Linked DNA regions of Rattus norvegicus. The protein of the gene in region 1 interacts with the protein of each later gene in a pairwise test. Links are inferred from orthologs where the notes say so. Each region holds a gene or a part of one and is shown in the gene's direction. Other genes may lie near its edges. The genes, in order: Tfcp2, Zcchc10, Car1, Phf1 and Cdc73.

What was found.
Region 2: the proteins of Tfcp2 (region 1) and Zcchc10 interact in binary tests that used the Homo sapiens proteins (3 or more experiments, as listed by UniProt). The two-hybrid records come from large-scale screens. The link is inferred for Rattus norvegicus from reciprocal best matches to the Homo sapiens genes TFCP2 and ZCCHC10.
Region 3: the proteins of Tfcp2 (region 1) and Car1 interact in binary tests that used the Homo sapiens proteins (3 or more experiments, as listed by UniProt). The two-hybrid records come from large-scale screens. The link is inferred for Rattus norvegicus from reciprocal best matches to the Homo sapiens genes TFCP2 and CA1.
Region 4: the proteins of Tfcp2 (region 1) and Phf1 interact in binary tests that used the Homo sapiens proteins (3 or more experiments, as listed by UniProt). The two-hybrid records come from large-scale screens. The link is inferred for Rattus norvegicus from reciprocal best matches to the Homo sapiens genes TFCP2 and PHF1.
Region 5: the proteins of Tfcp2 (region 1) and Cdc73 interact in binary tests that used the Homo sapiens proteins (3 or more experiments, as listed by UniProt). The two-hybrid records come from large-scale screens. The link is inferred for Rattus norvegicus from reciprocal best matches to the Homo sapiens genes TFCP2 and CDC73.

What each region holds. Positions count from the first base shown.
Region 1 is NC_086025.1:133,501,560-133,507,165, reverse strand, and holds part of Tfcp2 (alpha-globin transcription factor CP2), read left to right. Parts: exon of another isoform or gene 1-462; coding exon 463-511; intron 512-1,065; coding exon 1,066-1,159; intron 1,160-2,120; coding exon 2,121-2,211; intron 2,212-3,017; coding exon 3,018-3,127; coding exon of another isoform or gene 3,128-3,139; intron 3,140-3,492; coding exon 3,493-3,635; intron 3,636-5,606.
Region 2 is NC_086028.1:37,972,960-37,978,565, forward strand, and holds part of Zcchc10 (zinc finger CCHC domain-containing protein 10), read left to right. Parts: intron 1-2,534; coding exon 2,535-2,693; intron 2,694-5,606.
Region 3 is NC_086020.1:88,584,532-88,590,137, forward strand, and holds part of Car1 (carbonic anhydrase 1), read left to right. Parts: intron 1-1,631; coding exon 1,632-1,750; intron 1,751-4,391; coding exon 4,392-4,487; intron 4,488-5,043; coding exon 5,044-5,106; intron 5,107-5,606. UniProt on the Homo sapiens protein: Catalyzes the reversible hydration of carbon dioxide. Can hydrate cyanamide to urea.
Region 4 is NC_086038.1:5,017,188-5,023,512, forward strand, and holds the start of Phf1 (PHD finger protein 1), read left to right. Parts: upstream 1-2,787; 5' UTR 2,788-2,989; intron 2,990-3,650; coding exon of another isoform or gene 3,651-3,671; coding exon 3,672-3,830; intron 3,831-3,912; coding exon 3,913-3,994; intron 3,995-4,090; coding exon 4,091-4,186; intron 4,187-4,538; coding exon 4,539-4,639; intron 4,640-4,730; coding exon 4,731-4,879; intron 4,880-5,020; coding exon 5,021-5,116; intron 5,117-5,244; coding exon 5,245-5,313; intron 5,314-5,400; coding exon 5,401-5,524; intron 5,525-5,607; coding exon 5,608-5,675; intron 5,676-5,770; coding exon 5,771-5,875; intron 5,876-5,996; coding exon 5,997-6,165; intron 6,166-6,257; coding exon 6,258-6,325. Other genes in the region: kinesin-like protein KIFC1, read left to right, coding at 1,579-1,623. UniProt on the Homo sapiens protein: Polycomb group (PcG) that specifically binds histone H3 trimethylated at 'Lys-36' (H3K36me3) and recruits the PRC2 complex. Involved in DNA damage response and is recruited at double-strand breaks (DSBs).
Region 5 is NC_086031.1:57,992,285-57,997,890, reverse strand, and holds part of Cdc73 (parafibromin), read left to right. Parts: intron 1-995; coding exon 996-1,101; intron 1,102-4,753; coding exon 4,754-4,823; intron 4,824-5,379; exon of another isoform or gene 5,380-5,550; intron 5,551-5,606.

The sequences.
Region 1 (5,606 bases):
CTGAACTCCTTCTCTCCCCGCAGAGATTTATTACGCCGGTGATAACTTATAATTTACTCTGTCAGTTTCTATTTATTGAAATTGTGATCCTCAGGGTTTTTTTGGTTTTTTGCTTTTTTTTATCTTTATTAACTTGAGTATTTCTTATTTACATTTCGATTGTTATTCCCCTTCCCCGTTTCCGGGCCAACATCCCCCTAACCCCTTCCCCTCCCCTTCTATATGGGCTTCCCCATCCTCAGTTTTTAAAATACATTTCAAATGACATAGTTTCTTCCCTTCCCCTGAAGTCTCTGAGTTAATTAGCACACGGCTTAAGTATTGGGTCAAAGAAGAGTGTTTTCAGACACAGTAGAGAATTCTCTGAGCTCTCTAACTTGAGAGTTATCATGACAATGAATCATGAGGTGACATACACAGAGTGCCCTGAACTCACCCTTCATCTTCACTGTCTCTCCTTAGAAACGGCTCGCCCAACCACCAGCCAGAGCCACCCCCTCCAGTCACGGACGTAAGTCTAGAGCCAATGTCAGTTATCTGTAGTGTGTAGGAGGGCTGTTGTGGTGACTGATTCTGTCACACTCACTTCACAAATGCTTCCTGAATTTCATCTCTGACCTGGAGATGTACGAAGGACTAGAAACAGGCAGGACCTTGAGGTATTTTGTTTGTTGTTTATAGGCTTCACTGTGCAGCCCGGGCTGACTTAGGACACATTCAGTGGCTGTCCCACCTCTGCCTTCCTGCACAGGGTTCCAAACGCACGAAGTGTCACTCCTTTTCCTCCTCCTCCTCCTCTTTCCTGAGGCTCTCATTTGTTTCCCAGTCTGTGTAGTGTGACTTCTCACATAGCTGCCACTACCCGGTTTGATCCTTGAACAGAAAGAGCTTTCAGTCTGATAGTGAAGTATCTCTTGTGGGTGGAGAAGACCCTGTGTGATAGAAACAGTTCGGAGCCACTAGCTAGTGTGACTGTGGAGTGTGGAAGGAGGAAGTGGTTGTGTGTTTTCCAGTGAGGTAGCAGATGAATCTACTCACATACCAAAGAATGCATTCTTCCTTCAGAACCTCTTGCCAACAACCACGCCTCAGGAAGCCCAGCAGTGGCTGCATCGAAACCGGTTTTCCACGTTCACGAGGCTTTTCACCAACTTCTCAGGTTAGATTACCTTTTCCTTCAGCCTTCTCCAGCATGGGGTGTTCATGTGCGTCTCAGGTCCTCTCAGTGTCCCACATGGAATGTGTCGGGGAACATTTCAGACTTCTCAGCCAGCTGTAATGGTCCTATGAGTCCTTAAAGGAAGCAGCTTTTCATTGGAACTCATTTAAGCTTTTAAATGTTTTTTTCTATATAGCACTCTTAAATGTGGTTTGGTGGCACACACCTCAAATCCCAGCATTTTTTTTTCTTTTTCTTTTTTTCGGAGCTGGGGACCGAACCCAGGGCCTTGCGGTTGCTAGGCAAGCGCTCTACCACTGAGCTAAATCCCCAACCCCAAATCCCAGCATTTAAGTGGGAGGCAGATGCAGGTCTGTATGAGCTCAAGGCCAGCTGGGTCTGCCTAGTGAGTCCCAGGACAGCCTGACTCTGGACACAGACAGACAGACGTCTTTCATCTGATCCTTTATCAAGGAACAGATAGACCCATCCCTGATACCACTGTACATATTACTTACACAATACGCTTTTATGCAGCCTTCTGTGAACATCTGTGTGGGAACGTATAGTTGATAAGATGTCCTGTTTTGAGGGCTTCCATCATCTATGTAACAGAAAGGTCCAGTCAGAAGGAAATGCACTAGATAAGCACACACAGAAGTGTGTGAGGTGAGACTGCAGGGGGCTGGTGTGAGCCTGTCAGACTGTGGAAGGGTATTTCAGACAGGAAAGCAATTCCTGTTCAGCACAGTCAGGCTGAAAGCATAGGGTTGGGTGGAGAAGTTAATTGGCTGAGAATCGAGACAGAAGGTGAGGCAGAGGCCAGGCTACAGGCCTTTATCTGCTGTAGACATAACAGACTGTAGACTGTAACATACTGCTCATGAGGGGATGACTGTCACATCCTGAGGAGTCTTGGAGTATTTGCCTTTATCACTAACTGTGTTTCTGTTTATCCCAGGGGCAGACTTACTGAAACTAACTAGAGATGACGTGATCCAAATCTGTGGCCCTGCAGATGGAATCCGGCTCTTCAACGCATTGAAAGGCCGGTGTGTACCTACTGTTCAGATGCCAATGAGAATGGATTTTAAATGAGTTAATGTTCAGGAATTTTTCACAGTACTCTGCCCAAATAAGTATGTCCTGTCAAAACATTAGAAGGAAACTTGTAATCAGTGGGTAAAGACATATGGTTAAAGGAAAGTCCTAACTCTGAGAACTGGTCCACCCTCCCCCCACTGTATACTGATGTGTGCCCTCCTACATACACAGGGACACACACAGACGTGCACATAGCGTCTGTATATCAGGAACTGAATTCTAGTGGCAAGAGCCTTTACCAGCTAAGCCGTCTTGCCTACCATATAGTAATATTTGTAAGTAAACAGCTTATGACCCTGACCCTCATGTGAAACAGTTACTCTTGCTTCTTGGATATTTCTAACCATTGCTCCAAAGCTCACAAGCTCCAGTGACCGCAGGAGCTACTTGATCCTGTAAAGGATCGACAATCTAGGGTTTAGTGAAGCCTTGGGAGAACAAGGTCTCGGCTAGCAATAGTGTTCTCTTACCCTCTCTCCCCACTCTTCCCCTTCTCCCCTTTTCCCCCTCTCCCCTTCTCCCATCCCTCTTAGTGCTGAGAATAGAACCCAGGGCCTTGAGCTTGCTGGGCCAACAGTCTGCTCCTTGGCCAGAATTTAGAAGCTTAAATGGTGCCTCCTGTTGCAACGAGTCATCATAAACAAACAACAAAGCCCACGGTTGCGAGATAAGGAAACGAGTAACTTGCTTTTGGCCCAGGCATTAATAGATTTCCTTTGTGTAAAGCTGATGGTCCTTTTTCTTCTCCACATAGGATGGTGCGTCCAAGGCTGACCATTTATGTCTGTCAGGAGTCGTTGCAGTTGAGGGAGCAGCCACAGCAGCCGCAGCCGCAGCAGAAGCAGGAGGACGGAGATTCAAATGGTACTTTCTTTGGTAGGTTGTTCTGGGCAGAGCAGGCGGAAAGGAGATGAGATGACTCATGGCTGGTGTGAGAGTGGGACCAGCACAGCATTAGCTGGAGTTCTAGAAGGACTCTAATCCATACATGTTATGTGCAGTACTTTTTATATGCTTGACTTATTGAAACCAGTAATATCCATGGTCTGTAGATTTTCATGTCCTCTCCAGCGTTTAGAAGAGGGAGTGACTAGGCTTGTGGAGTAAGTGTTCACATGGTTCACATGGAGAAAGGGAAGCTGAGGCAGGATCTGCAGCAGGTGGTGTGGTCTCTGAGTCTCTAGAGATGTAATCCGCCTTTGCACTGACTCCTGTTCTTTCTTTTGCAGTGTACCATGCTATCTATCTAGAGGAGCTGACAGCTGTTGAATTAACAGAAAAAATTGCTCAGCTTTTCAGTATTTCTCCTCAGCAGATCAGCCAGATTTACAAGCAAGGGCCGACCGGAATCCATGTGCTCATCAGCGATGAGGTCAGTGTCTCCGTTCAGTTGAATGACCAGCCCACAGTTTGTTAGGGCCTGTGGCAGTGTGAGAGCTGTTCTGCCAGGGTTGAGTGTGTTTCTACACAGAGGGTTAGCTGTTTAATTTTAATTCTTTTTAACAGATGAATGGTCTTGCTATTTTGGCCTGACTGACCCTGCACTTGTGGGTTCACATGATCCTCCTGCCTCAGCATCCTGACAGGGTATCTGGGGCTGTTGGTATGAACCACTGTGTCTGGCTTAGATGTTGTTGCTTACTTACTAGTTCTTAAAAATTAGAGTAAGGTTGGGGTGTTAATGCACCCCTGGAGCCCTAGTACAGAGAAGTTTAGGCAAGATAGTGAATGCAAGTTCATCTCTGGGTATGTGGTAAGTTCAAGGCCCATGTAACCCATGTGAGATGATCTGCAAAAAAAAAAAAAAAAAACAAAAAACCCAAATAGGCAAAGCCAAAAACTGGAGAGGGAGATGTGGCTCAGCAGTTATGAGTGTTTACTGCACAAGATGAGGACCAGAGTTCAGATTGTAGAACCCATGATTTTCAGTTAAAAAGGATGTGCCCCCCCCCCAAATGCCTTAGCCCCAGCGTGGGAAGGGCACTGGGGCTTGAACTCTGCCAGCCTACCTGGTGGGACCGGACCAGGAAAGGAGACCCAGCCTGCCTTACCAACAAGGGGGGGAGCAATGGACCAGGAAAGGAGACCCCGCCTGCCTTAACAAGGCGGGAGCGATGGAGCACATGTGATAATGAATTTGGCCTCTGTGTGTGATTGAATACTCATACACATGTGTATGTATACATACATACACCTCATACATATAGGCACACACACATGCAAAACTATTTATCTTTTGCACATTTTTAGTTTAACTTAAATTTGAACAATTGTAAAAGCTTTCTAATTTGAAAAAAATCTAAAAACTCATATTCCTATACATATACACACTCTGTGCGTGTGTCTGTCTGTCTCTCTCTGTGTCTCTGTGTCTCTCTGTCTCTCTCTCTTACACACACACACACACACACACACACACACACACACACACACACACAAACGTTAAGATGGGATAGATGATGCTTCTAATAATCCCAGTTTGTGGAGGAAGGCAGGAGTGTTCCCCTGGGCAGCTCAGTGCCGGCTGAAGGAGGAGAGAGGTTGCTGCCACTCTGATTACACTCTTAAACCAGACACGAGTCATTGTTTCCCAGTCCCGGAGCTAAAATCAAGTTCCAAGAGTGATTTGGGAGCTAGAGAGATGCTTCAGTGGCGAAGAACACTCACTGGCTGCTGCCTTTCTAGAGGACCTACACGTGGTGGCTCACAGCCACCCATAATTCCCTCTTCTAACATTCATGGCACAGGCAGGCACATGAAATAGAAGTATATTGTGGCAAAACATACACATAAAGTAAGTCTAAAACAATTGGCTTAATGAGTTACTACAATTCATTTTTAAAAACTGGAGTGTGCTTTGTGTGCACCTGTGCATGCAGGCCTATCCCTCCCTGAGTGTGCATGTGGAGACCAGAGGGCCACTGGCATGTTCCACTGTGCTCAGCTTTCCGAGTGCTAGGAGGCTGATGTCAGGCCTTACTCATGCTTCACAGCAAGCGTTCTACCCCGGCTTGGCCATCTCTTCTCCTCTGTGGCCATCTTTATGGGCTATACATTTTTCAAGACAGGGTTTTTATAGACAAGGTTAGCCTTAAACCCCCTGTATAATGAAGGGGTGAGGGGTGACCAATGGGTGTGTGTGTGTGTGTGTGTGTTCCGTTCTCTGTTTTGTGGGTAGTTTTAAGCTGCCTGATAGTGGCAGGAACTGAACTCCGGTCCACTGGAAAACAACAAGTACCCTTAACCACTGACTACCTCTATCCATAGTGTTTAATTTTACATAATATTTTTATGCTTGAAAATCTCATTGTCTTGTTGTGCTTACTTGAAGCAAAAATTTGTT
Region 2 (5,606 bases), on another chromosome or scaffold:
AGCCCAGCACTCAGGAGGCAGAAGCAGGTGGAACTGTGAATTCAAGGCCATCCAGGTCGACAACAGAGACCGTGTCTTAAAAACAAAAACAAGGAGTGTTTTCCACTTAAAGGTCATGAGTCGGGCTGGAGAGGTGGCTCAGTGGTTAAGAGCACTGACTGCTCTTCCAGAGGTCCTGAGTTCAATTCCCAGCAACCACACGGTGGCTCACAACCATCTGTAATGGGATCTGATGCCCTCTTCTGAAGTGTCTGAAGAGAACTACAGTGTACTAATATATAAATAAAATAAATAAATCTTTAAAAAAAAAAGTCATGAGTCTTTCCTTGTTTCATATTGCTTCTCCTTTTGGTTTTTCAAGACAGGGTTTCTCCAGGCTGACCTCATAGAGATCCTCCTGCCTCAGCCTCCTGAGTGGTAGGATTAAAGGCCTACACTTGTATTGCTTTTCTTTCTTTCTTTCTTTTTTTTTCTTCCTTTCTTTAAGATTTATTTAATCACTTTATTCACACACACCAGAAGAAGGCAACAGATCCTGTTACAGATGGTTGTGAGTCACCATGTGATTGCTGGGAATTGAACTCAGGACCTCTGGGAGAGCAGTCAGTGCTCTTAACCGCTGAGCCATCTCACCAGGCCTGTATTGCTTTTCTTAACAGGTTTATCTTCATCTTTGCTAAATATTTTTCTTAGATTTAGTATACAGTTCCATTGTGTATTTTTGGTTTCTGGCTGGTCATCCATCATATTCCCTGTCCCATCCGTTTTGTTTACCACAGATCTCCATTTCACTCTGTTCTCAGTCCTGCCTCACCCCTCAGGATCCTGGGATTACAGGAGTGCACTGTGTCTAGCTTTAAAATAGCTTAACTTTCTTCTTTATATAATATTTCCAAAGGCTGAACCGAGGAGTAACGTACGCCAAGCAAAAGTTTCACCACAAAGCCCGACAATCCCTCTCTATGTGCCAGTCTTTAGAAACATTTTTTTTTTTCTTTTTTTCGGAGCTGGGGACCAAACCCAGGGCCTTGCGTTTGCTAGGCAAGCGCTCTACCACTGAGCTAAATCCCCAACCCCTAGAAACATTTTTTAAAAGCTATTTTATGTGTGTGAGTGCTTTGGCTGCTTGTCATCTCTACAGCATGTGTGTCCCTGGTGCCCTCGGAAGTCAAAAGAGGGTGTCAGACCCCTTGGAACTGGAGGGAGAGATGGTTATAAGTCGCCGGATGGAATCTGGGAACCAAACCATTTATCCTTTGCAGTAGCAGCAAGTGCTTAACTGTTAAACCGTTTCTCCAACTCTAAATATGCTTGGTTTTGGACTGTAGCCTGTTATGTGACAGGTCTAAAATTTCCCCTTTGTGGTGCTTTGGTGCTCCAAAAAATGTGACCTGTATTGCAGAAGGGTCTTACTCATAAAATTTATTAATAGATAAAGTTTGGGTTTTTCTGTTTGTTTGTTTGTTTGTTTGTTTGTTTGGAAGCTCAAGGACTATTTTATTAAAGTACAAGGTGGTTGTAGTGGCTCACACTTTTAATCCTAGTATCGTGTGGCAAGTGCCTTAACCCACTGAGTTATCGCACTGCCACCATTTTTCATGAGTAAGTAAAAAAGTGATAGCAGAGGCAGATCTATGAGTTCAAGGCCAGCCTGGTCTACAGCTGCAGAATCAACCAAACAAATAACCTTTTTTATTTGCGCGTGTATAGGAGTAGAGGACAACTTGTTGGGGTCAGTTCTCCTCCTTCCACTACACAGACCTAGGGATGCAGCTCAGGTCTTTGGGCTTACAGCAAACACCTGAGCTATTTCCCAGCCTTAAAGGTGTTTTAACAGGTTAGAGGTCTGCCTTAGTAGTAGACAATTCAGGAAGGAGGCTCTGAGTTTAATATCTAGCATTTTGCAAAGAAAATAAAAATCTTTATTATCCTTTATATTCTGAGCTAAAAATGTTGGTCCAAATACATCATTGCTGGGATGGGAAAACTTAGAATTTTTGTTGTTTGTTTTGCTTTGCTGAAACACGGGGTCGCTCTGCAGCTCAGGCTGACTTTGAACTCAGAGCCATCCTCCTACTTCGGCATGAAAGTGAGGAGTATAAGCATGATATTCGGTGCTGGGCTTAGAAGAGCAAGACTCGGGCCAGGGTTGGGGATTTAGCTCAGTGGTTAGAGCGCTTGCCTAGGAAGCGCAAGGCCCTGGGTTCGGTCCCCAGCTCCGGAAAAAAAAAAAAGAACCAAAAAAAAAAAAAAAAGAAGAGCAAGTCTCGGGGTTGGGGATTTAGCTCAGTGGTAGAGCGTTTGCCTAGCAAGCGCAAGGCCCTGGGTTCAGTCCCCAGCTCCAAAAAAAAAAAAGAAAGAAAAGAAGAGCAAGACTCAGCTCCTTCTGTTGAACCCCAAGCTGCATGCATTGGTCACTTAAGTAGCTTTGCAGACTACGGTAAACATTGCTTGATACTTTCTGCTCTTTTAGGTCAGACAGTGCCCCAAGACAAAACTTCCAAGGTTTGTTGTGTTCTCTTTTTTCTTTGTAGTGAAGCCAATAAGCAACACGTAAGATGTCAGAAATGCTTGGAATTTGGACATTGGACTTATGAATGCAAAGGGAAAAGAAAGTACCTACATAGGCCTTCGAGAACAGCAGAGCTGAAGAAAGCTTTAAAAGAAAAAGAAAATAGATTACTGCAGCAAAGGTAGGTTTACCTGTGGTATTCAGGGGCCTTACAGAATCCTTTGCAGAGTCGGTTAAGGGGCTGAAAGTTTCATTATAATGCTAGCTGATACTTTTGTTCATTCTGGGCTTTGGAGACCTTCTCGCTATGTAGCTCAGGCTGTCCTCCTGTCTCAGTTTGCAGTTTTCCCGTCTCAGTCTCCTGAGTGCTGGGATTACAGGTGTGCACCGCTGCCACATCCAGCTTATAATACTATCGGCTGATTTTTAATGAATGGTTACTCTGTCTGGGCCCTGTGCATGCTCTTTATAAGTACTAGCATACTTAAACCTCAAATCTCTACTAGTAAGGTAGCTATTATTAACCTATTTGTGCTCACATATGTACAAGCGTGCACACACACACACACACACACACACACAAATTAAATTTAAAAAAAATAATAGATCATGGAATCAATGCATGCTTTTTTCCAAAAAGAAATCTGTAAGAACTTGCCTATTGGTTTTCTTTTTTGACTTTCTCCTCCCCTACCCTTTATTATAAATTAAGAATGTGGAGAGGCCCTTAGTCCCACCCAAAGAATAAATAAGGACAGCGGAACAAGATTTTCATTTAAAAAGATCCTATTGAGAATGGTGAAAGATGATGACCTACAGGCACTGGTCCCATTCTTACAACAGGGAAATCCTCACATGGCCAGTGAACCAGGCTTATATAATTAGTTACCGTGCAGAATTTACAGCTTAATTCCTACACTGGACAGGAAGGGATAAGAGTGAATTGTCCCTAGATAATACTCCTGACTGGATTCCCATGTTTTCAAGTTCAGAAGACACTGAGCATTTCAGTCTCATCCACTTAAGCTAAGTGTGGGTGTGTACACCTGTAATCCTAGCATTTATGGAGTAGGAGCATCAGGGTCATCCTTGGCTACATAGTATATGTCAAAGCAAGCCTGGACTGTCTCCAAAGTTAAAAAACAGTCAGGTTTGGTGGTCCGATCTTTAATATAAGGCAGAGGCAGGTAGGTCTCTTCTTTTGAGGCCAGACAGTGTTATATAGTGACATCCTATCTTCAAAAATATCTCCCTCTCAAATTGACAAGAAAGACTTTGTAAAGCTAAAAATCTTTTGGACAGTAAAGGAAATCACTAGATGAGTGGGGGGGGAAAAAACCAAAATAACAGCCTATCAACTGGGCCAGGATCTTTGCCTGCTAAGAACTGATACTTAGAGTGTGCAAAGAACTAAAATCACTACACAAGAAAACAACCCAATTTTAAAATTTGGACTAAGGAATTTAATAGTGACAAAGAAATACAAATGGCTAATGGATTTTTTTTTAAAAGTGCCCAACATCCTTAGCCATCAGAGAAATGCAGAATGGCCAACAAAAGCTGGCAAGGATTATCCTTGGATAAAGAGAAGCCTTATTCACTATTGATGAGAGTGTAAACTGGTGCTTTGGCTACTATGGAAATCAATATGGGCTCTAAAAGTAAAAAAACAACAAAAAAAAAAACCTAACTAGAATGGCCATATGACCTACTTACAGTATTCTGGGCCTCTAACCAAATGGCCCTAATCCCACCACAGAGGTATTTTAGCTGCCATGCTCATTGCTGCTGCTCCATAGCAAGCAAATGGAATCACCCCTAGGGGTGGGGAGGATTAAGAGATAGGAGCAGGGCAGGTATGGGACACATGAAATGTGAAAGTCGATAGGGCTGTGTGGGGATGGAGAGCAAAAGGAAGAACAAGTATTCTCACAGTAGGCCAAGGATACAGCTAAGTGGTCAAGTGCATGTATGAGCCCTCCACCCCCAGTACCACACATGCTCTCCCCCTCCCCTCTCCCTCTCTCCCCTCCCCCATGTGTCTGTGTGTGTGTGTGTGTGTACACACTTGCTTGTGTGTGTTATATATAATAGATACTTTTGTGGCTTTTCTGTATCAAAACTTGATCTTTTTGGTAAGTCATGTTTCTGAAGAATGAATGTAAAAATTAAAGTTAGAAACTGAGTTAATAAACTTCGCCAGATTCTAACAATAAATATCTACCCAGCCAGTATTATAGCTCACACCTTTAATTTCAGCACTCAAGAGGCAGAAGCAGGTAGATTTCTATGACTTCATGGTCCAACCAGTCTGGACAACTAAATCCATGTTATCTGGAGTTGGGTAGGTAGACCTTGTCTGGAATTAACTAATTATTCAGCCCTGCCAGGGCTGATGTCTAGACAGTGAGGATGGTCTAGGGTTTGACACACCACTGAAAGCTTTTCTGTATTGTGATCTCTCACAAAACAAGGCAATGGGGGCTGGAGAGGTGGCTCAGCAGGTAAGAGCACCAGCTGCTCTTCCAGAGGTCCTGAGTTCAATTCCCAGCAACCACATGGTGGCTCACAACCATCTGTAATGAGATCTGATGCCCTCTTCTGGTGTGTCTGAAGACAGCTACAGTGTACTTATATATAATAAATGGGGTTGGGGATTTAGCTCAGTGGTAGAGCACTTGCCTAGCAAGCACAAGGACCTGGGTTCGGTCCCCAGCTCCGAAAGAAAAAAGAAAACCAAAAAAAAAAAAAAAAAAAGAATAAATATTAAAAGTAAAAATAAAAAACCCAAGGCACTGCCTGCTCTCGGCTAATAGAATCGCCTTCTGTGTACGGCAGAAGTAGGAGTATACACAGCACTGCAGACTTTGAACTAAAATTCTCTCATGAGATTGGCTAGAGTGAAACAACATGTCTGCAGGCCTGTGGTGGTTCTGTGTGGTGAATGTGTCTGTGACAGGATCAACCTATTTTCCTAATCAAGAAGCAGAAACTCGTTTTGAAAACCTTTAAGGTACAAGGTAGAACGTGGGCTGAGATATGGCTCCGTTTGCAGAGTGCTTGCCCAGCATGCACAGGGTTCTGAGTTCCATCC
Region 3 (5,606 bases), on another chromosome or scaffold:
TTCAGTCCCTGATCCACTCTTTGTCCCTGCCTTTCCTCCCGTGAGTATTTTGTTCTCCCTTCTAAGAAGGAATGAAGCATCCACATTTTGGTCATCCTTTTTCTTGAGCTTCATATAATCTATGAATCTATTCTTAGGTATTCCAAGTTTTTGGACTAATATCTACTTATCAGTGAGTGTATACTATGTGTCTTCTTTTGTGGTTGGGTTACCTCACTCAGGATGATATTTTCTAGTTCCATCCATTTAAGAAGCTCATGTAGTGAAAATATATTTATTATACAATACATCCTGACCAGTTTTCCTTCCCTCTACTCCTCCCAGATCCTCTCCACCTCCCTTCTCCCCTAGATCTACTTCCCCTTCATTTCCCTTTAGAAAAGAGCAGGTGTCTAAGAAACAACAATGAAACTGGATACAATAAGACATGGCAAAAGCCCTCATATCAAGGCTGGACAAGGCAGCCAAATAGGAGGAAAAGAGTCCCAAGAGTAGGCATAAGAGTCAGGAGGGGCTTCAGAAATTCCACAGCATACCATTATTTTGCACATGCACTTGTGCATCTCATAATTGTAATATCTTGGGGGGGGGAGTTGTGACTTCTTGGAAGATTCCTTGCAGAGCTCCCAGCTTAATTCTTATTAACCCTTATTAATAATCCATTTGACCTATTCCAGCCATTCCAGAAACTTTGTGCTCATATATCTGAATAAGTAACATTTCTTCAAAAGAGTATAGTGAGCAAATCATTATGATCATGAAACCAAAAGGGCATATATTCTAAGCAGAGTGAGAGTAGTTGAGTGCAATGGTGAGACAGGTGATGCACAGATTCCCCTCATACCCTAGAGCCTGGCATGTTCCTTGCCACATGGCCATCAGTATTTATTGAATAAGCTGTTAAACGTTTATTCTCTAAGGGTTCCAGTGATAAAATGCAATTCTTGCAGTGCTTTCCTACAAGTTTCTAATTTTAAATGTCAGGTACCTTAGGAGCGTTAACACTAAGTTAGATCTAGTGCTGGGATTGCTATCATATGCAATCGTATGATTGGACAGGCTCCCCAGGCTGGACTGTCATTCAGACCAAAATTTTTTAAAGTAGCCTTGCATGATAGGCAGTATCACTTCAACCCTGGCCAAGAGGTTCTCAACAAATTTTTTTCAGGCTATGTTGTTATATCTTTACTAATTATATAATAAACCATTATATAATAAACCATGAGGTTTATTTATTTAATTAATAGAAATTGCTATAAACTCTGATACTTACTATCCACACAGTACAATTTAATGAATGAATAAACTTGTAAATTAATAGAGATCCAAGAAAAGCCCTTTGATCATATAACTTATTCCGTTTGAAACATGTCATTTTGGTTACATAAATAGGTAACTTTTTGGTTCCCTTCCTAGGATTTGTGGATATATCATGAGCTGTATTATTATGCCATAATCAGGAAGACACTATATAGAAGAGTGTCATCAGCAGGGATGTGGAGTGGGGAAACAGAATGAAAACATAACTTTGGCACCAACTTGTGCTTGCTTCCATCTCACACAATACGATGCAGCTTTGGTTTATATTAAAGATGAACCAAAGGTTTGACAGTAACTCTCTTTCCTTCTAGTGCTGAAAGGTGGCCCTCTTGCTGATAGCTATCGGCTCACCCAGTTCCATTTTCACTGGGGCAACTCAAACGACCATGGCTCTGAACACACCGTGGATGGAGCCAAATATTCTGGAGAGGTAGTGTGATATAATAATGAGATATAGTTCATGAGAATGCCTGTGGAACATCTCTGGTATTACAGAAGCTACTATCAGAATGCTTCAAAGGGGAGACCACACTGGTTTTTATATGGATGCCTAAATCCATTAAATCAAACACAGCACACCATACTTTGTAATGGAGGAATATTTTTCTATAGAAAGAAATATCTTGGGGTTGGGGATTTAGCTCAGTGGTAGAGCGCTTGCCTAGCAAGCACAAGGCCCTGGGTTCATTTCCCAGCTCCGAAAAAGAAGAAATATCTTAACTTGTAAAGGAGAGTTTATGAAAATCTTTGACATCTTCCCAGCTTCAAAGATTGTTCTATCATTTTTAGGACTCTGACTTGACTGGACATGCCAACAAGCTCTATTTACTTAACTTCCCAAATTTACCAGTAGCATGTATATATACAGACAAGAACACTGGAGTAACATAGCAGAACGTGCTGGATTTTAATCACAGAGCTAGACTTTAACGATTGCAATGGAGGAATATATATATATATATATATATATATATATATATGGAGAGAGAGAGAGAGGGAGAAAGAGGGAGAGAGAGAGTATGTATATATATGTTGAGAGTAATATAAGTATATATATTTTGAAAAACTAAAAAGTTTCACCTTTGGTGGAGATAAAAATGATAAAATATTCACTTATTTATATGAATGCATAACGTGTGTATATAACTATGATTACATATAGTTAAGATGGCTTTGTTAGCATTAATTTAATAAAATGAATATATGATTTTGAAGCTTGCTTTTTTACCACTTACCAATATAGCATCATTCTCCAAGTAAGAAGATTTCATTCCATGTCTTTTAAAATTAACTGCTTAGTATTATTATTTGTTTGAACTCGAATATCAGAATTTGTTTAACTAGACTTTCTGATGAACAATTATAATATCTGCTTATTATATACCACTGTGAGTTTTGTTGTTTTTACTTTTATCAAAAATGTTTCAACTAATAATTTATGCTTGTATCTGAAGTACCAATGGAAGTAACTACACAAGAGAGATTTTTCATAGAACAGGTTATAAAATATATTGCAGCTTATTGTGATAAAACTAGATGCTGGGGGAATAAATACAGATATAACTTGCTTTGTGGTATTTTTTAAGATTAGGTAATGCCTTTCAGTGTTGCAGAAGTAAATAAAAACTCTGTCCTAGTTTCCCCTTTACAAAACTGAAGTTGGACTAAAATGGAATGGAAGCCTAAAATATTATGCTTTAGAAAGGATACCTGTGAGTATTCATGGAATCCAAATCAGAGACTTTATTCACTCAACTAAGTTGATGAAAACATAAACTAAACCAATGACAAGAAAGATTTAGTCACAAAGTTCAATGTATTATTTACTATTCAGCTCAAACACCCACATGGGTGATACAGAAGGTACAAGAGGTAGGCAGGTAATGAGTGACAGGTGCAGGCTCCTCCCTCGACCTTCATGGAGTCAAAGCTAAACCATTTATTGGCTATATAATTCTTCTCACTTATACAATTGGGTACTATAGCATTAATCTCCTTGTACACTTACTGAGAGAATACTTACAAGGCATTTAGGCCAACTCCTACATTGTAAGTGCTCAGTATCATCACTTCTGCAGCGGGGAAAGCATGGGATTCAATGCAGTGTGGGTGCTCACATAGAATTGTCACCGGATGAGAAGAGTAGTTTTCAATGAAACACCACTTTAATTAGGGCTGGAGAGTGCTCTCTATCAAAAGGAGTGCTCTAATTGTTGTATTTTATTCATCAACTATTTATTGAGACTTTATAATATACTAAATATTTATTTTTAAAGTAACTGAGTCAGAATCTACATTTTGTAGAAGAATAAAATGGTTTTAAAAGAAGGGGGAGAAAAGAAGAAGGGAAGAAAAGGGGTAGAGAGAAATAAGAGATCAGATAAATAGCATGAAAAGAATAGATTTCAGTTATGAGAGTCACTTTATATGGGGTAATCAATTTATTTGAGGCATGGAATTTGAGTTCAGAAGAGGCAAAGGAAGGAAATTCCAGGAAGTCAGTAGCTAATACAAAACCCCAAGATATGAACAAATGAGATGGTATATTCAGCTGAGCATGGAGACTGATAAATGTGTAAATTACGAGATTTGTAATACCTGTGGTACTTTTTGATTAAGCACTTAGGTGTGTGGTGTTACCTTTCTAAGAGGAGAAAATAACACATGTAGCATGAGAAGCTGAGCCTTTCTCTGGCCATGTGACTCTTCAGGGATCTGTCAGACACTCCCTTGGAGATATCAAGACAGTATCAGGAACATACTCAGGTACACACTGATGTACAAGCCTAAAATTCCACCAAGAGTTTCAGCAGAATTTGACTGAAAGGATCCTGGGAAGGACACGGATATGCCCAAGTTTGTAAGCAAAGAGCTTCTTACAAAGTTATCTCATGTAAGAGAAAATGGTTTCACCTTTTATCCTAAAGTTAGTTACCCTTAGGGTCCAGGTGAATTTTATCTACCTGTGCCAAGACATATCTTCAAATATAACACATTTGCGTGTAACTCACGGTGCATCTTTTCCTTTGCATCAGTATTTGTAACCAATTACTTACATGTCCCTCTTCTAGCTTCACTTAGTTCACTGGAATTCAGCCAAGTACTCCAGTGCTGCTGAAGCCATCTCGAAGGCTGATGGGCTGGCAATCATTGGGGTTTTGATGAAGGTGAGTAATGAGTGCGTAGACCCCTCTGTCTCTTGATTTTTAAAATGGTAAATGTCCTGAAATGTATCATTTGAATTTGTGTTATCATTGAAGAGATGCTATGATAAAAGTCATCATCGGACTGGGTAAGACTGGGTGATGACATGACCTTTTGGATTACAGTATTTGGAGGTGACTTTTGTCAAACATTTATTTAGCATATGATCAAAATGAGTTAGGTATAACTAACAGCAGATAAAAGTGAAGATGTACTTTCGAGTCACAGTTTTGATATCCATTCAGAGTTTGTCTTACATAGTTTTCATCATCTCCTTCACCATTAAATGTAGTCATGCTTTCAGTTTACTATGTTTGTTATACCTGAAGAGAAATTTACAGAGTACAAGATCCCATAAAGGTATGTACCTCAAAAAAAATGTCTGCTTTAGGAACAGAACAAAATCCCATGTTCCTCTCTTCAGTTATTGATGTTAATTGAAAATTTAAATTTTAACTAAAGAGTATTTTATAAATCACAATCTCTATCTCATACTTTCTTTTTCCTTTAATTCTCCAGGTTGGTCCAGCCAACCCAAACCTGCAGAAAGTACTGGATGCCCTAAGCTCAGTTAAAACTAAGGTAAATAAGCTAACACAGCTAATTTAATAACAACGACACACACCAAAGTACAGGAATCATTCAGTTGCCTGTTGGGAACAGGAAGCATCAAGACAAGTGTAGAAGCCACCAACCACAAGGTACCATGGAACTGCTGCTTGCACTGGCAACAGTTGGCTTTGCTTTGTTTACATGGTGCTTTTCCTTTCAGCAAAGGACATTACTCAGTCCTTTTTAGATCTGTTAAAGGCCGATCACATTCTAGTGTAAGCCTTCTGTTCTGTGAAGAAAAACATGTTGATGTCTTTAGTAATGCAAACATATGGGCAGGAAGAGACCTAGTTGAGAACTATGATTCTGAACTGAACTCAGAATTCAGAGTGGATTTTTCTTAAAAGCCCGTCTTTAGCATCACTGCTTTAACGTTGAATCCGAGACCAAAGGTTAAGGACATTTGGCATTTTCTTTCACAATATGGAAAGCTATTATATCTTTATAGGAAATATATCTGTTTTGTGCTG
Region 4 (6,325 bases), on another chromosome or scaffold:
TTGCTCACTGTCAGGTTAGCGCACAACCTCAGGTGGTCAAGGGCACATTGTAAAGGACGCTGAAACTGACCTGTGTGGTGAGGTGAACATCCTGTGTAGGAAAATGTGCTTGAGAGTTCTTTTGTGCACTCTGTGTGTCTGGTGTCTAAGGAGCTGCATTGCCAGGCCCTGGAGTTACAGACGGCTCTGAGCTGCGTGTAGTTGGCCAAGGTCCTTTGGAATTCAGCTGTGCTCTTAATCTCTGAACCTTTTCTCCAGCCCCAAGGTGATGGATGGGTTCATTTATTTATTAATATTTAGCTGGGTGTGATGGCACATGCCCTTAATTCCAGCACCCAGGAGGCAGAGACAGACAGATCTCTGAGTTTGAGGCTACCCTGATTGTATTCCAGGACAGCCAGGGCTATACAGAGAAATCCTGTTTCAAAAAAAAGTTGTATGTGAAGGTTTTGCCTGTGGAGGTGTTTATCACACTTGTTCTTGGTATCGAGGAGGTTAGGAAAGGGCAGTGGGTTCCCTGGAACTGTAGCGGATGGCTGTGAGCCACCATATAGGTGCTAACAACTGAACGCAGGTCCTCTGTAGGAGCCGGTGCTTCTAAACACTTGAGTCATCTCTGCCTCAAGATGCTGAACCCTTTATAGGTTTTCATTTTTGAGTTCCTGTCCTGAGTGACTCCATGTGTGCCCGTAGGCTTCTATGTGGAGGTGGGCGCTACAGATGCTTACATCCTGACCTCTGACATCTCCACCTCCCCTTCCTGATCCTCACAGCAGCGCTCCGTCTTGGTCGGCATGAGCTCCTTCAAGTTAGCTCCTGCCTGGTCTGCTTAGGCTGGGCAAGCGCTCTCCCACTAAATAATAACCCCAGCGCTCGTGTGTCCTTTGGTCTGAACCTAGTAGTCTGTTTCCAATTCTCTTCTGTGATATTTTTTTCTCAGGAGCCCTAGTTCTCAAAGGAGTTCAATGTCCTGATAGGTTTTGTAGGAGGGCTTTGGGGTGTCTAGTCCAGGGCGTTGCTGAAAATGGAGACCTCTCTGCTGCTGTAATCCTCGTGTAGGTGTCTTCAGTTAGCTTTCTAATCCTGTGATTAAAACACCATGATCAAAAGCAACGTGGAGTAGAAAGGGTTAGTCCATTGTCAGGATGTCAGGTCGTTACTTCTGTAGGCCATAATGGAGTTGCTGCTCCTCATCGCTTCCTCAGCCACCTAATAACACACTTCATTAGGGACCCACCTGTTCATGGGTGGCACTGGCCCTCGAGAGGGTAGGGTCCGCCAACATCAATCACTAATTAAGAAGAGGCCCTGTGGCTTGGTCCCTCTTCTCGAGCAAGGAGTAGCCTGTGTCATGCTGACATATGACCAGCGGGCATATCTCTATCATCTTTTCAGACTGCTGGTCTCCTCCAGGTTAGTGGACACAGCACCACTGTCCCTCCAGGGGGTCAGGCCGAGCCTGCTGCCGTAGTCCTTATTTCAGGGAGTCAGACAGTGGGCCCAGCATTGGGGCAGAATGGGAGACTTCGGATTGTAAGCAGTGATCTCGTGTAACCCTATTCACTGGTCCATCCACAGGTGAACCAGTGCGTGATCGGCACTGCTCAGGCTAATAAGAAATGAAGATGGATGCAGAGCCTGGCTCCTGTGCAAGCGGGTGTGCGTGTCTGTTTTGTGTATATGTATAACACGGGGGTGGGGCGGGGCTGAGACATGATTTTATTGGGTGGACAACATTATGTACCCAACTATCAAATAAAGAAAATTTGGTGTAGGTTAATTTTTTTCTTAATCTTAGATTTAAAAAATTGTGTGTGTACAGTTGTTTAGCCTGAGTATATACATGTGCACCATGTGCATGTCTCCTGCTCCTTGAAGTTCAGAAGAGGCTTCGGGGCCTCTGGAACTGGAATTATGGACAGTTTTGACCATCGATGTGGGGTCTGATCAGTAAGTGCTCTTAACCACTGAGCCATCTTTCCAGACCCTGTTACAGCTCTTAATGGTTTTATTAATATTGGTAGCTGCCAGATGAAGTATTGTGAGTAAATACCGTAAGATGTAGAAATGTCCATTTTGACCTGTTTTGCAGAGTGAGGGAGGCTATGGGCTTTCACTTGGAGGGACACACTAACTTTGCTGCCTGCCCTGGTGCCTCTCCTCTGTCCTTCAGCTCAGGGAGTTGTGCCCATAGTGCCCACACCGGGCCCTCTGTGACCAACTAAATCTCTCACTTCCCCTGCCCACCGGTTCGAACCATGGTTCGGTCCGTGCCGCCTAGTGCCCATTGGCTGGTGTGGGCGCGTCACCGCCCCAGTACTAGTTCCAAGTAGCCTCTGGTCCTTTCCCTCCTAGAGGAGCACGGCCATGCCAGTGCTCGCCGCGGGAGGAGTGGCTGTGTGCCCAGGTGCGGCGCGCGGGCGGGGCTACGCGTGCGCAGAAGGGCGGGGCAACAGAAAGCGTGAATGAGGAGGGCGGTTCCGCGTGCGGAGGCGGAGCTTGGAGTGGCCACGGGGGCGGGGCAACTAACGGATGTGGCATGGGGCGGGGCCCGGCCCTGACCTGCAGGCTAGCTGCCAAGAAGGTTATTTCCTGCTGCCCTCAGAGCAAGCCTCCTATCCGAAAAGGGGGCTACAGGGATTTCCTCGTCCTCCCCGACCGGCCGCGCCTCCAATAGCGCAGCGCCCTCCGGGCCTACTGGAGGTGAGGGAGGTGCTGCCTACCCGCCCCTCCGTCGTCTCCTCCCACTGGTGCTCCCCACCCTCCACTCTCCTCCCTCCTTCTGTCGACTCCTCCTGCCGCTGCTGCTGCTTTGGCTGCTGCGTCATACGCCCCAGAGCGGCCAGGACGGAGGGGCTGGGCCCGGGGACCCCCCTGGCCTCCACCTGCACGCCCCTCGGCGCTCACACTCAGTCTTCCCGCACCGGGGACTCACCCAGATCTCTTGGGTCTGCCCCTACCTGGCTTCCAGCTGCCCCAGCTGTCACCGGTAAGGAGAAGGCGGGAGGCCCGGAGGGGGGGGGGCAGGGAACCGGGGGTCGGTGCGCAGGAAGGGCTGGGGGAGCCTCCTGGTCCCAGTTTGGGATCTGTGCTGGGGCGACTCAAGTCCCTCCGTGGACTGGCAGTGTAGGGGAGTAGAGACTTGGACAGGGACACGCCCCCCTCCTGGGGCACTCAGGGAAGTTATCTAATCCCAGGTCAAGGAGCCCCAAATTTGAGGGTGACCTAACATAACCTGGCACCAGGATGGTGGCTCTAAATAAGACACACAAGCCTGGGGAGGCAGCTGTTTCTACTCCTTTAACGTCTTTAGAAAAGCTCCCAAAACATCTCCGGGCAACAGATTGCCCCAGTTAGGCTACCTCTACACAGCTGGGAAAGGTGAAACTAAGTGGTAACCTTGATTCTGCAAACATCTTTTCCACCGGAGGTCCGGAGGAGCTGGGATACTACGGAGCTAGGCAGGGGAGATGGAAAGGAGTGGAGTAGAGAAGCTGACCAGAACGACCTGCCTCCTCGGGGTTCTAAAGGATTACGAGACTGGGGTTGGAGATTCCTGGTCAGGGTCAGGGTTTCTTCATCCGTAACAGAAAACAACCCACACAGGGACACTTTCTCAGCGCTCATAAACTCTAACCATCCTGTTTCAGAATAGCCCACCCCAGGATGCAATGGCGCAGCTCCCCCGGCTGAGCCGTTTGGGTGCTCCCTCTCTTTGGGACCCAGCCTCCCCTGCTCCCACCTCAGGCCCCAGACCTCGGCTTTGGGAAGGTCAAGATGTGCTGGCAAGATGGACTGATGGGCTCCTGTACTTGGGCACCATCAAAAAGGTGAGGCCCACCTCTGATCCCCTGCCTTCCCAGGCCGGTCTGATTCCTGCCCCCACTTTACGGTCTTGGTCATCCACTCCAGGTGGACAGTGCGCGGGAGGTGTGTCTGGTCCAGTTTGAGGATGATTCCCAGTTTCTAGTTCTATGGAAGGACATCAGCCCAGGTGAGACCCTTCAAAGCACAGCTTCCCTCTGCAGCAGCTGGAGCCGATGGGGACGCTGGGTTGAAGTGGGCCTCCTGACACTTTGTTCTCTCACAGCCGCCCTTCCTGGTGAGGAGCTCCTCTGTTGTGTGTGTCGCTCTGAGACCGTGGTCCCTGGGAACCGGCTGGTCAGCTGTGAGAAGTGTCGCCATGGTGAGAGGGCGGGATGTTTAGGGGGTGCAGTTTGCCCTGGGTCTTCTGGGTTACCACTAGAAGGGTTACCCTCCCTCATAGCGTGAGTCACGCACGTCTCCTGCCTGGGCCAGTCCTCACCCTGTCACCTCATCTCAGTACAGGGAGAGGGAGCGTGGATGCAGGTGACAAGGCTGAGGGCCTACCGTAGCTCGCTCACATTTCTTAACCAAGCTTCCTTGGGCAAGGTCCTCAACTGCTAGAAGCCCGTTGACTCAACTTGAGTGTCAGGATGAGACCTGCCAGCGGGACCGGTCTTAAATGCCCTGGTCAGGACTTAAAGGCCACTCTGTGGCCTTCTCTCCTCATTCAGCCTATCACCAGGACTGTCACGTCCCCAGGGCCCCAGCCCCTGGAGAAGGAGAGGGCAGCTCCTGGGTCTGCCGCCAGTGTGTCTTTGCGATTGCCACAAAGGTAAAGGCACCTCTCTGCCTGCTTGTGTGGGAGCCTCCCGTGACCTCTCCTCCTTCCCTGCCCTCTGAGGCTTCCCTCTGTTCCTCTGCAGAGGGGAGGTGCCCTGAAGAAGGGTCCCTATGCCCGGGCCATGCTGGGCATGAAACTCTCCCTGCCGTACGGTCTGAAAGGGCTGGACTGGGACGCCGGACATCTGAGCAACAGGCAGCAGAGCTACTGTTACTGCGGGGGCCCGGGGGAGTAAGTGAAGGAAGAGCAGGGCCAGCCACGGCATGGGTGTTTTGTGGTGGTAGAGCCCAGGACAGAGGGGAGCGAAGAGGGTGAGGGGGGGCCCTGTGGTTTGAAGAAGGCTGAGGGCCATGGCGCTGTCTTCCCCTTGAGGTGGAACCTGAAAATGCTGCAATGCCGGAGCTGCCTCCAGTGGTTCCATGAGGCCTGCACCCAGTGTCTGAGCAAGCCCCTCCTTTACGGAGACAGGTGAGATCCAGGGAGACTGCACAGGAGCCTGGGGTGCTCTCTCTCCCGCGCTCCCGACTGACTAGTTAGCCCTCTGCAGCTCGTACTGGAGGGTTGAGTGAGGTCCCTCTGTCCTGACCCATATACAGATTCTATGAATTTGAATGCTGTGTGTGCCGGGGCGGCCCTGAGAAAGTACGGAGGTTACAGCTTCGCTGGTGAGAAGGATGGTGCTCTCCGCCATTTTACTCTATGACTCCTGACTCCATAATGCTGCTGCTGTTGACAATCTCATGCTCCTCCAGGGTGGATGTGGCCCATCTTGTTCTCTACCATCTCAGCGTTTGCTGTAAGAAGAAATATTTCGATTTTGACCGAGAGATCCTCCCCTTCACCTCTGAGAATTGGGACAGTCTGCTCCTGGGGGAGGTAAGGGTTCTAAAGTTTGAGAACTGGGGTTTTTGGAACAAGGAATGCGTGCTCCCTGGGACCCATTTACCCTCTTCCTTCAGCTTTCAGACACTCCCAAAGGAGAACGCTCTTCCAAGCTCCTTTCTGCCCTTAACAGCCACAAGGACCGGTGAGTCGGAAGAGGGAGGCTGAGGGAGTGATGTGCCAGCCTGGATGAGGGGACTTGGCAACTGCCCTGATCTGCGGATTTCCCCCTTGTCCCAGTTTCATTTCAGGGAGGGAGATTAAAAAGAGGAAATGCCTTTTTGGTCTCCATGCTCGGACCCCTCCTCCTGTGGAGCTTCTCACTGGAGATGGATCCCCCACCAGGTCACTGGTCCAGGGGGGATGGGGGAAATTCTCAAGGATCTGTTTGGAGGGTACATGTACAGAAAATGGGGGTCTTGGGGTGCCTGGGAGGGGGCTGGGGGGATAAGGAGGCCTCTTACAGCTTCCCTTCAGGGCAGGGCCCTGGGGGAGGGGTCTCACGTCCCCTGGGGAAACGCCGGAAGTCGGAGCCAGAACCCTTGAGGAGGAGGCAGAAGGGGAAAGTGGAGGAACTGGGGCCACCCACAGCAGCTCACAGTCGGCATGGGTCCCAGGAGCAGAGGGCCCTGCAGGTACAAGGGCAGGGGAATCCCGTGGGGCAAACCGGTGGGGGTGTGTGAAGGAGCCAAGGGTCATCTCACAGCCCCTCTGCCTTCTTCTACAGGCCTCAGAGTCTCCACCACCCCCCAGCCCTAACCAGAGCTACCAGGGCAGCAGCGGCTACAACTTCCG
Region 5 (5,606 bases), on another chromosome or scaffold:
AAAGGAGGTTTAGGACAAAATAAAGTGAGCTGTATTTAAATGGATTCCTACAGTTGAACCATCATAAGTAGATGGAGGAGAAAGGAAGGGATTGCAAAGTGGTGTGTGCGTTAGCATTAGAGAACTTGTATCCCCAAGACTACATTACTTGATCACAGTATTTTAGTTTTGCTTTATTGGTTTAGTTTGAGAGATGTTATAAGGATCATCTCCTTGGAGTACATCCTTTTAACTTTCAGAGTATTGTTGAAGATGTTGTATAGCAGTATCTTTTTTAGAATTATAAGATGTATATCTTTTAAGTGCATCCTTAGTAATACCTTCATCTAGTTTGTTTTCTATGATAATCCTTTCCATTGTGCAGCTGGTTGGATTTTTTTTTTTTTATTTTTTCTGTTGACAGAGTCCAGAACTCAAGTCTTATTTTAAAATATGTATACATATTTAGAGTTGGGATTGAGGATGTAGCTCAGTTGGTGTGATGCTTGCTTAGTATGTATGGGTTTCGGCACTTGATCCCCAACACCACATGCAAAGAAATATGGTGGAGTGTACATGCTGTCCTCAGCTGTGTAGCAGAGTTGAGGCTAGCTGGGATACATGAGACCTTGCCTGTCTTTTTTTTTTTTTTTTTTTTCTATTCTTTTTTTTTGGAGCTGGGGACCGAACCCAGGGCCTTGTGCTTGCTAGGCAAGCACTCTATCACTGAGCCAAATCCCCAAACCCGAGACCTTGCCTGTCTTAAATAAAGAAAAGAAAGAGTATATATGGTATTTTAAAGAATGAATTTATGTGCTCTCCCTGTTTTTTTTTTTTCTGCATTTTTTTGTTTACTTTTGCCCAATGACAACTCATTGTGAAAGTTTATACTGCATGTATGTTTTTGCTAGGTTAAATACACTGTTAGATAACCAACTAGATATAGATAAATGAATGCATGTAACTGAGCTCAAATATTTATCTTAATCTTAATAAAAGTCATGCCTTAATTTTAGGACCGGAAAGGAAGGCCAACCCAGAGAATACTACACATTGGATTCTATCCTATTTCTCCTTAATAATGTGCACCTTTCGCATCCTGTTTATGTCCGACGTGCAGCTGTAAGTAGGAGTCATTTTAAAACTATTGATCAAATAGTTATAGATAACTTCACTCATGGGTTTCAAATGTCTGAAATTGTCATGGAGAGTGAAAATTAAACTGCTACGTGATTTATTCAGATTTTTTAGTTGGCAGTTCATTCATGTAAAATATAGGTAACATTTATAACAGAACTTTTTTTTTTTTTCTTTCTTTTTTTCGGGGCTGGGGATCGAACCCAGGACCTTGCACTTCCTAGGCAAGTGCTCTACCACTGAGCCTAATCCCCAACCCCATAACAGAACTTTTAAAAGTGACTACATAGATGTTTCAAAAAATATAAGTAGAAGAACTCTGATAATTCAGAACTATAGTTTAATTTCAAGAAAACTTTTCTTAGTATAAACATATTATAGGAGAAGGCATAAGAATGATATAAATTTAGTACTAAAGTATGAAAATCTCAATAAACCCAACGTAAGCAGATACTTCTTTAGAATTTTAACCAGAACAGTTCTTTTGGTACTTTATTGACAAATGTATTGTTTTTTAGTTTTATCTGCTTTGTCAGTGTTTGAAAATTCATTGTTGAGAGGAAATTATTAGGAATAATTAAAAATATTTCATTTCACAAAGATTGTTATGATGAGGTTCTTCTGCTGGCAAGGGACTGTTAAGTAGGATTCTGAATTATTTGAGTTTGACGTTGCAGCTTGGCATACATGTGCAAATTATGATGGTTCTCCAGATATTTCTCTGGGTATTGGGAGGACACAAGTCTCATGTAGCCCAGGCTGGCCTCTAGCACCTGTCTAATTGAGGATGACCTGAGCTTGTGCTTCTCTTGCCTCTACCCTCTAGTACTGGGATCAGATGTGTCTGCAGTCATGTCCTGTTAATGTGGTATTGGGCACTGAGCCCAGGCTTTCATGCTTGCTAGGCAAGTACTCTTCTTCTGAGAGACGCTGCAGCCCTTTAACTTTTATTAAAAGTGGTCCTCCATCAGATTTCTTGATGGATCAGACATAGAATTACTTTGGAGATACTGATATAATCAAATATCTACTCTAAAAGCTGTTTTAACTTTACTGCATTGTCTTAATTTGAAAGTAGTTCTTTCATTTCTGAATATTCTCAAAACAAACCCATAAAATCTTCATTGTGACTTCCATCACTAGAGATATTTTTTGGCAGCTTAACACTACTGCTGGATTGCATTATGTTGTGTGAAATTTACTCTTACAACCTTTCCTTCTAAGTAGAGATAGTTGAGGCTTTTGAAAAGTAACTTGTTATTTGGACCAGTTGTGAAAGTACCTCATTTATTCTGCTTCAGTAGGACTGTTTTTCTGAGTAAGAAACATATATTCAGTGTTAAATATATGTTTAAAAATCTTAAAGTTGGTAAGTAGTAGGGAAAATTAATAATTGACCATTACATTATTTATTAGATCTTTAAAATCCTAATTAAGCAATAATTAGAATTGTTTGTTAAGTAATTTACGTACTTAGAGCTATAAACATTTCATATATCTATATATTCATGTATGTATATTTATATATACATATATATGTATGTATACATACATAGTTTTGTTTTTTGAGACGTAGTTTTTCTGTTTAGCCCTGGCTCATCGGAAATTCATTCTGTAGACCTGGCTGTCCTGGAACTTAAGAGATTCTCCTGCCTCTGTCTCCTGAGTGCTACCACTGCTCCGCAAGACTATTCTTCGAGTGGCTATAGTTCATAACTTATAGTAACAGTTATTGTGGACTCTAGGACTTACATTTATAGTCATATAAGATATAACCCTTGCTTTACTTAAAATTTCTCCAAATGAAATGGTACAGAGATCTAAAATTCTGCAGCTTTACAGATTAGAGGTTGCTTTTTAAGTTGCCATGTTCCTTGCTCTGTGCTGTGTGCTGACTCTTCCTGGAATAGGTGCTCTGATCTCTGGGGCTTTGTAGAGTCAGTAGACCTGCAGCTTCTCAGGTGGGTCATAATGTGGACATAAACAATACTTAGATGGTTCTGAAATACATGAGTAAGCTTTGAGATAGTAATTTAAAGAATATCAATTCAGGCTGGGTGGTGATAGTACATACTTTAATCTCCGTACTTGGGAGGGAGAGGCAGGGGGATCTTTCTGAGATCAAGGCCTGTCTTGTCTCTAGAGTGAGTTCCAGGACAACTGGGTCTACACAGAGAAAACCCGTCTGGAAAAACCAGAACAAAACCAAAAAGACATTAATTCAGATATGTGTAATGTTCCAGATACACTGGTTAAAAATGACAAGGAAAGAAATACTTGTAGGTTTTAAACTTGTGTACAAATATATATTTATATTTATATTCCTTATATAAATTTTAGATTTTCCATGTATAGCTGAAGAAAAATAAGCGATTTACTTGTTCAGCTAAGTCAGAAAAAAGTATGTGCAAATAATGGGTGTAGTGACTCAGTGGTCATTGTGATGCAATTGGCTAGTGATACTAAGGGTTCTCATCACTTCATTGTTGTTCATAATACTCAACAAAGGTTTTAATCTATGCAATCCCTTAGAAACCAGTTTTTCTTGCACTCTCTTGTTTACATTAGAAAAATGATAAGAAAAATTGTGGTAATGGCAAAAGTCGTTGTCCCAAAGATGACTCGATACCTGCAGTATACATTTTATTTATTTGTTTTAATCTTGAAAAGAATTGCTGGTTTTTTGTTTGTTTGTTTTTTGTTTTTAACTTTAATGTCTACATGTGTCTCTTAAGTACACACGACTGCAGGTACCAGAGAAGGCCAGAGGCATTTAACTCCTTCCCTGAACTGGAGTTAGAGGTGGTTGTGAGCTACCTGTAACTGGGAATGCTAGGACGCAAACTGTGGTCCTCTTAAAGAGCAGAAGGGCTCTGATTGCTGGGCCATCTCCCAGCCCCAATTCCAACCATATGTTTACAAGTAATGATTGTAGGTGGATTAAAGAAAAACTTCATTTTTCTAAATTGATAATGTGTTCACACAAGAACTTTAAAATCTTTTTTCTCTCTATTTGAATTTATATACAGTCTAGGATAAAAAGAAGTGTAGAGGGTTAATCACTACAGTCAACATTTTTATAGTCTATTTTTCTCATTCTTATCAATTATCAAAATATATATTTAGTGGTTTATGTAATTTATTTGGAAGGATTTCAGTTGAATAGTTTGAAGAGGTTTGGTCTGGGTGGAGAAAAGCACTGCAGATACTGTATAAAATGAGACAACATTGAAGCACAAGGCCCTGGGTTCGGTCCCCAGCTCCGAAAAAAAGAACCAAAAAAAAAAAAAAAATGAGACAACATTGAGACTGAAAAAATGTGGCTTCATAAGTGCATAACATCCTGAGTACAGTTAGAGCAGGAAAGCCAAGGGATGAGAGAGAGAGACTGGGATTGGTACATTGCAAAAAGATAAAAGTTATTTTTAACTGTCTCGAATAAATCTTTTTGAAATTTCAGAAGTAAATTATTGAAAATTAACATTTGAGAAATTTTCAAAATTTTGTTTTTAGCAAAACAATTGTGACTTTAAATACAAGTTACCAAGGTATGTTAGATAAATTCAGAGATTATATGGTATTTATCAAGTTTCATAGTTGCTTCTATTCAATGTCTAATTTAAAATTTTGGATTTAGACTGAAAATATTCCTGTGGTTAGAAGACCTGACAGAAAGGATCTCCTTGGATATCTCAATGGGGAAGCATGTGAGTACTAAATTTGCTCTCACTCTTAGATAAGCCTTCCTATGAACATAGATGAAGTGGAAAATTTTGTATTCCAGTAGCTTACCAGTAGCTGTGTCTTTGTGCTTCTTCCTGAAATTGCACAAAGTGTCTCTTTCTAGGTTGTCACTCCCTCGTGTGAGTGCTCTTTGGATACTATCAGAGGCTTTGCCTTTGTACATTAGTATTTCTGTCTTGCTTTGTTTTCTCCTCAATCATTACCTTTTAAAAGAGATGGAGGAGAGATATATGCTTTAAAAGTATTGCTGATTCCACATTTCTACTGTTCCCTTTTTATTACTATTAAAAGGAAGAGTTGACAGACTATCACTGCTTATTCGTTACCTCTTTCTTGAAGTTCCTTCTGCCTAGTTTTCATCCTCACTATCCCCCTGAAGTCAGTGAATTGCCACACCTTTTGGTTTCCTTTTACCCACGTTACCTATGAACATTTGATAGTGTTGGACACTGTCTTCTCTGAAATCCTTCACTTGACATTTGGGACACTAGGCCGTGAGTATTTTTTCCATTTGTTCACCTTTCAGTATGTTTGCTGTTATTGTATGACGTGTTGTCCTCGGGTTTCTATTGCTGTGATGGAACGCCGTGACCATGACCAGTCAGAATGGGGATGGAAGGACTTGTCTGATCCTACAGCTCACAGTCCATCATCTAGGGAAGTCAGCTGGGACTTGAGGCAGGAACGGATGCAGAGGCTGTGGGGGAATGCTGCTTATTGGCTCATTCCTCATTGTTTGCTCAGCC